Sus scrofa: one gene and its partners. The protein of the gene in region 2 purifies or fractionates together with the protein of the main gene of each other region. This does not show direct contact. Links are inferred from orthologs where the notes say so. Each region holds a gene or a part of one and is shown on either strand. Other genes may lie near its edges.

What was found.
Region 1: the proteins of PPP1CC (region 2) and PDRG1 purify together in Homo sapiens (affinity purification with mass spectrometry; 6 studies listed by BioGRID and IntAct, counting the BioPlex papers as one, with this or other methods). This does not show direct contact. The link is inferred for Sus scrofa from reciprocal best matches to the Homo sapiens genes PPP1CC and PDRG1.
Region 3: the proteins of PPP1CC (region 2) and CCDC85C purify together in Homo sapiens (affinity purification with mass spectrometry; 5 studies listed by BioGRID and IntAct, counting the BioPlex papers as one, with this or other methods). This does not show direct contact. The link is inferred for Sus scrofa from reciprocal best matches to the Homo sapiens genes PPP1CC and CCDC85C.

The regions. Positions count from the first base shown.
Region 1 is NC_010459.5:35,613,609-35,617,354, forward strand, and holds the start of PDRG1 (p53 and DNA damage-regulated protein 1), read right to left. Parts: upstream 2,460-3,746; 5' UTR 2,369-2,459; coding exon 2,282-2,368; intron 724-2,281; coding exon 648-723; intron 1-647. UniProt on the Homo sapiens protein: May play a role in chaperone-mediated protein folding.
Region 2 is NC_010456.5:32,077,634-32,081,279, forward strand, and holds part of PPP1CC (serine/threonine-protein phosphatase PP1-gamma catalytic subunit), read right to left. Parts: intron 2,354-3,646; coding exon 2,222-2,353; intron 1,336-2,221; coding exon 1,105-1,335; intron 1-1,104. UniProt on the Homo sapiens protein: Protein phosphatase that associates with over 200 regulatory proteins to form highly specific holoenzymes which dephosphorylate hundreds of biological targets.
Region 3 is NC_010449.5:120,517,311-120,520,956, forward strand, and holds part of CCDC85C (coiled-coil domain-containing protein 85C), read right to left. Parts: intron 1,800-3,646; coding exon 1,704-1,799; intron 940-1,703; coding exon 841-939; intron 156-840; coding exon 66-155; 3' UTR 1-65. UniProt on the Homo sapiens protein: May play a role in cell-cell adhesion and epithelium development through its interaction with proteins of the beta-catenin family. May play an important role in cortical development, especially in the maintenance of radial glia.

The DNA of each region.
Region 1 (3,746 bases), on a different chromosome or scaffold from region 2:
GAGGAACGAGGAACAGCAAAGATCAGTGGTGTGCCGGGGTGTCAGCAACAGCAGGGGAGACCAGGAGGGTGGAGTTATGAGTGAGGGGGAGGGGAGAGGAAAGGACAGGGGAGCATCCACAGGGTTTTACTCTGGTGAGGCCAGAAGCAAGTGCACTTTAAACTCTTGGCCCCAAGGCCCTTCATTACCGCCCTTCATTACAGCCTGGCCTCTGCCCATCTCTCCAGCCTCATCACACGCTCTGTCACAACACCTGGCCTCATCTAAGGAGCCACATCCCCTTCTCCAACACCAAGCCCATGTCCAATTCCTTCTTCAGCTTTCTCACGACTTTCATTTCTGTATTTATGCTGTTTAACCCATCTTTAGGTGCATGCACAAGGGCAGAAACTGTACTATTTTTATAGCCCCCAGCGCTTTTCCTGGTGCCGTCACTCATAAGCCAGCAGCTAACAACCTGTCTCTGAGGTGAGTGGCTAAAATCCTGAGCCACAGTCCAGGTCTGAACTGGGATACTGTCTCCCCATCTCCATGGGCTGTGCACACACCTCTGGCCTCCTGCCTGGTCTCTATCAGGGGTAAGTCAAAGGCCTTAGAAGGAGAAGTGAACAGGCCTCCTGGGCTGCAGTGAGGAAGTCTTGGCTTACCAGAGAGGCTGAGATCCTTCTGCAGGGCTCTCAGGCCCTCCCGGTTCCGATTCCTTTTGGTGTCCAGGTCCACAATCTGAAAAGCACAGGGGCATGAGGGAACTCAGACACCTCTTACCCGGGCCTGTACTCCCAACAGACCAGAGCTGTTAAAACCGAACAGAAACAAAACCAGGGCATCCCTGCTAGGTTAATTCCAATGCCCTGCTGTGTGAAGGTATTCCTTCCCCCACTTAGCTGCCAGCTCCTTCAAGACAATGCTTTGTGCAGGTGTCTTCCCAGGAAAAATGTTTCAGGACCAAACAATTTGTTTTTTTATTATCCACTGGAGCACCAGTTCTTAAACTTTAGGGCATTTCAGAATCACCAGGGGAGTGAAAACCACTCCCTGGACAAGCTCCTCCAGCTGATTCTCACCTAGTACCACAAGAAACCCAGCAATATTACACCAGAACAGCAGAGTGGGGGCACTGAGATGGGGATAACAGCACAATAGCTACCAAGGAAGTGAGGAGGTGGTACAGTACACTGCCTGAAGGAGCTGAATACTCAGGTTTGATTCATGCTGCCCACTCTAAGCTGTGTTATTTCACTTCTCTGAAAAATGGAGATAGGAACAGTACACACCTCATCGGTTATGAATCCAGGAACTAAGTAGGTCAGCACAGTACTTGACCCACAGTAAGGACCCAATAAACTTTAAACTGCTATTTACCATCCAGCATACCTTGAGGCAGTGTTTGACAGGCTCTTCCCCAAGTCTTCCCATTCTCACTACCTGAGGGAGCAACCATTCAATCTTTCTAACTGGAGATGAAGAGTCATGAATCTTTCTTGATTTCTCCCACTCCCTCACCCCTATACCTAACGATCATGGAAGCCTAAGTCCATCTCCAAAATATATTTCTGACCCAACACCACCACCTTGGCTCAAAGCCATCCCTCACCCCACCCATGGCAATGGCCCCTCATATTCTCTTCTCTACAGAGTGCCTGGCCCCTCATATTCTCTTCTCTACAGAGCAGCCAAAGGGATCTTTCAAACCCTAAATCCATTACATCACTCTCCTTCTCCCCATGAACTCTTTTCAAAGCCTCTGCATCTTTATTAGTACCAAACCCAGACTCCCAGTGCAGGTTTGCATGGCCTTCCAAGGCCAGGGCCCCACACTCCTCCCACATCCCCATCCCTGCGTGATCCCAAGACCACTCAGGCCTCTTTTCTGTTTCTCTTCTCCACTCAGAGTGTGAACTGGGGCGGTGCAGCCCAGCTCAGGGAGGGAGCCCAGGAACCGCATTTTGAAAGAGGGGTTCAGATCAATCAAATGCCCAAAGGGGTGAGTAGATCGGGATCGGGAAGGTAGGGCAAGGGAGCAGAGAAAGGATGGAAGAGACGGAATGCCTGGCACAGAGAGGCCCCCGTGTAATACATGCAGAATGAAGCGCGGCGCTTCATTTAACCCACATAATCTCACAGCCGCCCAGCCTGTCGTCACGGCCATTGGCCTAAAAGCCTAGGTCACCTCCTGGAGAGCCTGAGCTGGAGCGATTCCGCACCTTGCGCTTCACTAGGCGCTCGCCACCAGGCCCCAACCTCCGAACCCGGGTCCCAGCCTCGCGGATCAGCCTCCTACCTGCCGTTTGTCCGCCAGAACCTCTTCGGCGAGCTCCTCCACCTCCACCAGGTACCGCAGCACCCGCTCCGCTTCGGGTGACAGCATAGTGCGCTCCAGCCCCGACTCTGCTCTGCCGCGACTCTAACAAGCTCCGCCACAGCTCGCTTCTTGCTTTGCCTGCGCACGCGCAGCTCTGACGGGGCTTCCGGCGCGCACGCGCAATTGAAAGAAGAACGGTGGCGCGCAGGCTCCAACGAAAGCGCGTTAGCGGAACGCGAGAGGCGGGGTCTAGCTTTGGAGGCAGGGTTAGAGCGCCCCCTGCAGGCCAAGGGAACATAGTCGGCTATGCTGCTGCTCTTTTTTTTTTTTTACTTCATTAAAAAATTTTTTTTAGATTATAGTTGACTTACAGTGTTGTGCCAGTTTCTGCTGTATACGCTATGATGCCTCCTAACCACTCCCTCCCTTCGTATAATTCTTGAGCATCTACTCTGTGCCAAGGAGTTATAGGTACTGAGGAGGCAACTGTGAGCAAAACAAAGGCCCTGCCCTCATGAAGCTTCATCCTAGTGGGAAACATGGACAATTAATGACAAAACAAATAATTATATAATATGGCAGGCAGTGATAAGGCTTCAGAGAAATCAAATAATTCTTCCTCTGCTTGAGGAATACGGAAGAGGCCCATGTGACATTGTGGTTTGGGGCGGGGGGTTTGGCGGAACTCACGGCATGCAGAAGTCACCCAGGCTTGGGCTCAAACCCACACCATAGCTGTGACACAAGACAAAGCAGTGACAACGCCAGATCCTTAACCCACTGTGCCATCAAGGAACTCTGACAGTGTGACATCTTCACTTTCCAATTTATAAAATGGAGTGAATAAAAATCCCCCTTATTGTCTTTCTTCAGGACTAGAAGGAGGCAGGAATCTTTTTACTTTTTAAAATTTAATTTAAATTTTTTGAGGGGGTCTTTTTAGGGCTGCAGCCACAGCATATAGAGGTTCCCAGGCTTGGGGTCAAATCCAGAGCTGTACCAGCTGGCCTACACCAGAGCCACAGCAACACCAGATCCGAGCCGATGTCTGCGACCTATACCACAGCCTCATGGCAATGCCAGATCCTTAACCCACTGAGTGAGGCCAGGGGTCGAACCTGCATCCTCATGAATACTAGTCAGATTCGTTTCTGCTAAGCCACAATGGGAACTTCAGGAATCTTTTTAAATTGAGTTTGATTCCCACATTCACTGAGCCCTTGTATTGGGCCCAGTGTCTGCAATAGCTGACCTACACCCAAGGAAGGGGTTAGAAAACCATGGGCCGTGAGCGATTAAGTGCCAGCTCAGAAAAGAAGTTGTGTAAGTGCTGGAAAGTGAACCCGTGTGGGCCGTGGGATCTGGGAGGACCTCCAAGAAGAGGGGGGCAGGTGGAAAGTGGCTACCCTTCAGAACCAGAGGGTTCCCTAGAAATCTTCATGCC
Region 2 (3,646 bases):
CACGGAAATTTACATTTGAATAAAATTTCCAAATACAATAAAATTACCAATGGTTTTTTTAAAAAGTTGGCAAACTATCAACTGAAAGCCACCTATATCAAGGACACTTCTAGGCCCAAACAGACTGAGTGGCAAATTATACTTGCCTGATGAGAGAGGGGAAAGCTGGAGTACAAGGTCATTATATCAGTCTTGAGGACAAGAGCCAAAATTGACACCAATCAATGCTGACCTTCTGCATCATTAAGGCCTCTACATTAAACAGAAACCAAAAATGATGTAGCCAATACCCTCACACTAGGATCTATGTCACAACAAAGAGATCACTGGGTCTGAATAACTTTGATGAAAACATGAAAGTTTTCACTAACAGCTGTGTAAAAGGAACCACTTCTTAACCTGTTCTGAAAAGCAGCACTATACAAGTGTCCAAAACACAATATTATAAAACTTTTCTGCCTCTCATTTCACTACCTAAAGAGTAGTAACTAACTGCCTTAAGAATACTTCTCTGATAGACTCACTGTCAATATCAAATCTCTCTTTCCTAACTTAGTTGCTGAATTCTGTCAGAACCCACAGATTTCTTCTCCTTGGTAATTCCTCCCACTTCATTTTATAAGCTGGGTCTTGGGGCCAGAGATCAAACAAATATACAACCATGGTTGGGAGCAAGAGGGCTAAGTCTATGAATGTAACCTTTCCAGCAGTGTACTTCTAACAAACAAGCTAGCTGAATACATCTACGTGAAACTGAGATGGAAAAACATCACACCCTGAGCGACTATAGGTTATGATCACATAGTCTAGGGGAGGCCACAGTGACAGTGCTTTACTGGTCTTGTTATAATTATATTGGCAAGTGCCAGTAATCAAATTCCTTAACTACTCCTCTCTTTGCAGCCTAAACCTTCTTCTGCCGAAAATAATGAATACAAAAAGGTAGAGGTAAGGATTAAAAAAAAAAAAAAAAATTAAGCATTTTATATAGTTATTTAACCAGCAGCAGCACCAAAAAATCCTCCACCAGAGGAGGAGGATGTTCAGTTTATGCCCAAGTATCTCAATTTAAGTAACTTTTTCTTAGATACAGAAAGTACTTACATTCATCATAAAATCCATAAATTCTATTGATGCTGGCACATTCGTGGTTTCCTCTGAGAAGAAAAAAATTCTCGGGATATTTGATTTTGTAAGCCAATAAAAGGCAGATAGTTTCCAATGACTGTTTTCCCCTGTCCACATAGTCCCCAAGAAACAGGTAATTGCTTTCTGGCGGGAAACCACCGTATTCAAAAAGTCGAAGCAAATCATAGTATTGCCCATGGATATCACCTAGAAGGAAGAATTTTTGTTATAGTATCTTCATACATATAGTTCAAACCACTAAACTAATTAATTTCCAATCTTCTATACTATTTAGTTCAATTGAGCTTAATTAAAATTTTAAGTGTATGTATATATACCGAATCTCACACAGAACTAATTAAGAATTTATTTTGTGGAAAGAATTATTAATGCCTAGGGAGACCTTCTTGCCAAGTAACATGGTTTTCCTTTCAGGTTGGCTGATCATTATCAGATCTCCAACGGTTCAGTCTCCCAGCATTGTAACAGCAGCACAGCTGCATTTCTTGAGAGCCCTGGTCCTGTGTAAACAAAGTACACACCCACTACACCTACCAATGCATTTGGCTTTCAACTTCTCCCTGGAGATAATGGCAAAGAGCATTGTACTTTAAAAAAATCTGCATACAAACTTTATTAATGTAGTCAAACATGCTAAAAGAATAACTATAGCACTTTTCAGATAGAGCTTAGTTTTTATACAGATTATCCACATCTTTCATGTAGAAACAGAACTACAAAAAGGCATCAAGGAAGGTCTATTTTTAGGCATAACCAGAGTTTCTTTAAGCTTAAATATAATTCCTATACACTCATATAGTTAGGGCCTCTTCTTAACTCTCCATTCTGTTTCATTTCTTTCCTTTCTCCTGAAATGTTTACATTCCTTGAGTGAAATAATTTTCAGAAAATCTGAAACCCATCTAAGATCAGAGGTATTTATTCTAAAGCTACAATTACTTAATTTTAGGTAGTTCCAGATTATTCATATATGCTAAATGATTCTGTTCGCTAATACAAGGTCATACATATATCACTGACTCAGTCGGTCAATCACGTAATCAAAGGTAACTGTTAGTGTGCCAAAACTTACCACATATTTTGAGTGGTGCTTCAAGTTCGAGTAGGATAGGCTGACTGAGAAAGATCTCTCGGGACTTTAAGCACAGTCCTCTGATTTCATTCTCTTGTAGCTGGACATTCTTACCAGGTTTGGACCCTCTCACTGTAGGGGAGAAATCTCAGTTTAGTCAAGTGAAGTAAAAATAAGATTTAACATAAAAATTAAAAATATCTGCAAAGATACATTTTAAAGACAGAGGCGGGAGTTCCAGTCATGGCACAGCGGAAACAAATCCGACTAGGAACCGTGAGGTTGTCGGTTTGATCCCTGGCCTTACTCAGTGGGTTGGGGATCCAGTGTTGCTGTGAGCTGTGGTGTAGGTTGCGGACTTGGCTCAGATCTGGTGTTGCTGTGGCTGTGGTGGAGGCTGGCAGATGCAGCTCCAATTGGACCCCTAGCCTGGAAACCTCCATATGCCGTGGGTGTGGCCCTAAAAAAGACCAAAAACAAGCAAACAAACAAAAAGAGGCAAAAAACAGTTTAACTAGCTTTCTGGCTGGGCTTTATTTATTTTCAGTATACTTAAAAAGAATATGATTTTAATGTCTAATAGGAACTTAAAATCTTCGGATTTCAAGAGATTATTTAGCTGCATTTTCTATACCAAGATTTCTTTACAGTATCATGATCAAGGGGTCATCTTCTCAGTGTATAAATTGTTAGAAAGGTCTTTTTATTGCCTACTAAAATCGGACTCCTTGTGGGCATGGCTTGAGGTCTCAGTTCTGTCTCTAAGCCACACAAATCGGCCATGTTCACCTATAGCCCCTGCCCACCAGGCCAGCTTTTTTTTTTTGTTTTGTTTTTTGAAAGTTCTCTGTTTGTTTTTTTTTTTGTCTTTTTGCCTTTTCTAGGGCCGCTCCTGTGGCATGTGGAGGTTCCCAGGCTAGGGGTTGAATCGGAGCTGTAGCCACTGGCCTACGCCAGAGCCACAGCAACATGGGAACCAAGCCGCGTCTGCAACCTACACCACACGCAGCTCATGGCAAGGCCGGATAGTTAACCCACTGAGCAAGGCCAGGGATCGAATCCACAACTTCATGGTTCCTAGTCGGATTCGTTAACCACTGCGCCACGCCGGGAACTCCGAGGCCAGCTTTTTTTTTGCCTTCCATCTTGTCTTCTCTTCTCCAGCCTCATAAATGAATTTGCATTCATACAGAAGATTTTAAGTGATATCAGGTTACTAGGTTAGTTCTAAGAATTCCTTGTTTTAACACCTAAGATAGGAAATGCTCAGAATCTCCCCTCCCCATCAGTGTTTTTCAGAGGGCCACAGGGATCTCAAGGGCCCCAGATTTATCTACGAAAAAATTTAAGTGTTGTTTCCATTTCATTAACACACACTGTACATTTGTGCGTTATTTTTCTGTGCAATTTCTGGGCCTGCACTTG
Region 3 (3,646 bases), on a different chromosome or scaffold from region 2:
GGAGACGGTGGCTCGGCGCCCAGGGACCCCAGGCAGGGCCAGTCCACCTCCACGGAGCAACGGCCCTACAAAGGCCCTTTGAACTGGTTCCCGGACAGGTGCTGCCGGATGGAGGGCTTGGAGCTGGCGGCATCCCCCAGTTTTCTCCAGACCACCTGTGGGGAGGGGCAAGCTGGGAATGGAGGGTCCACCCTGCACCCGCCCAGGGTGTCCCCAGAGCCAGGGGCCAGGAGGGGACACTGAGGCCACATGACACCTGGAGACCCTCAGACCGGGTCTTTGCACGTGCGCCCTCCGCACCGTGCCTCCCACCCCAAGGCGACTGAGCTGGCACCTCGAGGGTGCAGACTTGGGCCCGAAGCTGTCCAGTGGGCCCTACAGACCCAGGAGGCAGCAGCGGGGGGATACCCCGCCCCAGGGGGCAGCCCCGTGAACCACCTCCCCTGCTGACTCCCACAAGGGTCCCACGAGGCAAGGCGCACTGGCCAGGTGGGTCCCAGATCCAGGCGCCACCTCCCCAGAGACCCAGAGGCAGCCCAGCTGCCAAAGGCCAAGGCAGCCACGGCCAGGAGGGTCCCGCAGAGCTGAGGGTTCCGCCTGCACCGCAGTCTGGGCACCACCTGTGTGCCAGGAGCCAGCAGAGCACAGGGGACAGGGACCAAGGGTCAGGATACACAGGGCAAACAAGACCAGGGAGCAGGGAGGAAAGGGGGGAGGGGAAGTGGGGGAGGGGAGGAGCGAGGCCCGGGCTCCCAGCCCCCCGGGTCACCTCCCAGGGGGGTTGTGGCCACACTGGGACTCGCCCGGTCACCCCGGCCCCGGCCCCAGGAGGCGCCTCACGTTGCACATCTCGCGGACAATGGCCTTCTCCTTCTCGCTCAGGTCCTCCTCGCAGCTGTCCTGGAGCTGCCGGTCCAGGTTCTCATGTACCTCCAGGACCTGCAGGGGGCGGCCCCAGGGTCAGGGGCAGAGGTCACAGGCAGGCCTCGGGCAAGGCCCCAGCTTCCCCCACCACAAGGGGCAGTGGTGGACGCCTAGCCGCGGGGCCCTGGGATCGGGGGCTGGAGAGGCCTGAGGGCCCGGTTGTCCTGTCGCCTCGGCCCAGTGACACCGTAGACACCACGCAAGGGAAGCGGCGGCCCACATTGGCACTGGGGGCAGAGCAGGTGGACAGGCGGGGTGGGGACCGCTGTTGCACTCCAAACCCGGGACCCCACTTGGGACTCAGGACAGGCTGGCACATGCACATGGGGGGGGGGTGTCCAGTTGCCACCTGCCAGGCACAGCGAGCGGGCTGCCTGCGGGGAACCACGTGCCTGTGTCCCTGCTAGGGGGGTAGGGATGGGGGCACCTCAGTGGACAGGCCCCAGGGTGCACCCCAAGGCCCTGAGCAGGAGGGGGGCAGGGAGAGCTGGGCCTGGGAGACCCGAGCTTCCATCCCGGCCATCCTGCCCCACCCCCACTCCAGGAGCACCTGTCCTCCCCACCTGCCCCAGGCCTCAGCTCCCTGGCTGCAGGGGTGACGCAGCCACCACCCCGCCTCCCAACCCCCACCCCACACTCCAGGCAGCCACGGCCACTGGACCAAAGTCCCCCAGCTGCCTGCAGAGAGGGCAAGCGGGGTCCTAGGTCACAGGGTCCTGAAGTGCCAGGGACCTGGGGGCCCCGGAGGGAGCGGGAACCGGGCAGGGCCTGGCCCTCACCTTCATCGCGTGCACCACAGCCTCGGGCTTCTGTCCTGCGGCGCTGTAGCCGGCGGAGGGCGGCGAGGACAGCTCGGGAACAGGGCAGGCGGGGCCCTGTGGGCAGAACCATGTCTTAGCTCACCCTGGCTGGCTCCCAGGTGGCAGCCACAGGTGCGACCAGCAGCTGGGAGGGATCCTTGGGTCCGTGGGGCCGGGGCCCAGGCCAGAGACCATGGGGGCCGAGGGGCAGCACCCCATCCCGCAGGCTCCTCTGCACAGCCTGGCACACGTGGAAGGTCTCTCACCTGCTTGGAAGGTCTGTCACCTCCTCTGCAGCTCACCTAGGATGATACAGACGGCCTGGGCCTGACTCCTAAGCCCCCTCCCCGTCCCCTAGGCTCCACCCCGGGCATTCCTGGGGCTTCCGGCCCTGAGCCTCCCTGTCTGGGGACTGCTGCCTCATCCTGCAGTCTAACTGGCAACTAGGTGCCCGGCTCCCACATCAGCCTGGGGGCCAGGAGACGGGGGCCGGGAGAGGAAGGGATCCAGCTTCCTGGCTCCCTGCCACCTGTGTCAGAGGCCAAGTGTCCACCCAGCTCCTCCCCAAGGGGCACTGGCCCAGGTGGCCACAGGGCAGGAGGCAGGGCTTTCGGCTGGGGCTGCAGCGGAACCGGCCCCTGAGCAAGGTCAAGAAGGGACCAAGGCCACATGAAAGAGCTCACGCCTGAGGAGCTAGATGGAGCCCCGGGGCCAGCAGGACGCGAGATGCCAGGAGTGGCCTGAGGGCAACCAGCCGGTGGTGCTGGAAGCGGAGAGAAAACACCAGGAGCGGCCCAGGGGGTACATGAGCAGGGGGAGCATCCTTGGGCCCCTTTGCAGCCCTGAGTCTCAGTTTCCTTCTCAGTCAGTGGGCCCTGAAGGCCCCTCCAGTGATCAGGCCAATGAGGCCACTGCCCTGGGAGCCTGCCCAGCTGGGCCACCCTGCACAGGGACCCTCGGTGCCTGGCATCTTTTGCTGCCAGCGGCCAACCTCTGCACTCTTCTCACCAGCCAGGGTGCCCTGGCCCTGCTCCTGGGCCCTCGCAGGCTCAGCCTGCTCTGGCTCCACACAGAGGCCTGCAGCCCTGGGGTCCGGGAGAGCTGGCTTGGGCAAGGCTCTGGGGGCAGGCCCGGTCCACTCCGCCCCTCAGGTCCCTGTGTCCCGGGTGTGCACAGAGACCTGGGCTGCTGTCTTCCTGACTCTGGCCCAGGCCACCTGATCTCTGGTGCCCAGGCCGGTGTGTCATGTCGGGGAACCAAACTGGGTTCTGGGGGGTCAGGCCACATACAGGTGTGCGCCCTATGGCAGAAGGCTGCCCTCCCCGCACAGGCCAGCAGGGGGCGACATCCACACACACAGAGCCCAGGAAGGCGGCTGGCCCAGGCACCTCTGGCCTCAGGTCCTGTCTGCACCCGGCGCTCCCAGCACCGCCTGCTCTGTAAGGAGGGCTGATTCCTGCAGCAAAGGCAGGCAGGAACTGCACGTGGCCGGGGTAGATGGTGCAACCGTTTGCTGGCCGGCCTCACTGGGTGGACGGAGCAAATGAGCGTGGTCTCAGGACCCTATAAGGGAAGCCACCACTGGACACTGGCCAAGACTGTACCCTTAGGGCCTTTTCCAAACCCAGCTCAGCCCTGCAGGCATCCCGTGGTGGGGGTGGCAGAGCACAGCCTGCAAAGCACCCGCCAGGAGAAGAGCGGCCTAAGGGGGCAGGTTACGACCCTAGGCGCGGACGCCATCTCTCTATGGGCCCATTTTACAGATGAGGACGGGGACACTGCGCAACTCGCCCAAGGCCAACCAGCTAGTAAAGAAGGGCGCTGGGAGTTCCCGTCGTGGCACAGTGGTTTACGAATCCGACTAGGAACCATGAGGTTATGGGTTCGATCCCTGGCCTTGCTCAGTGGGTCAAGGATCCGGC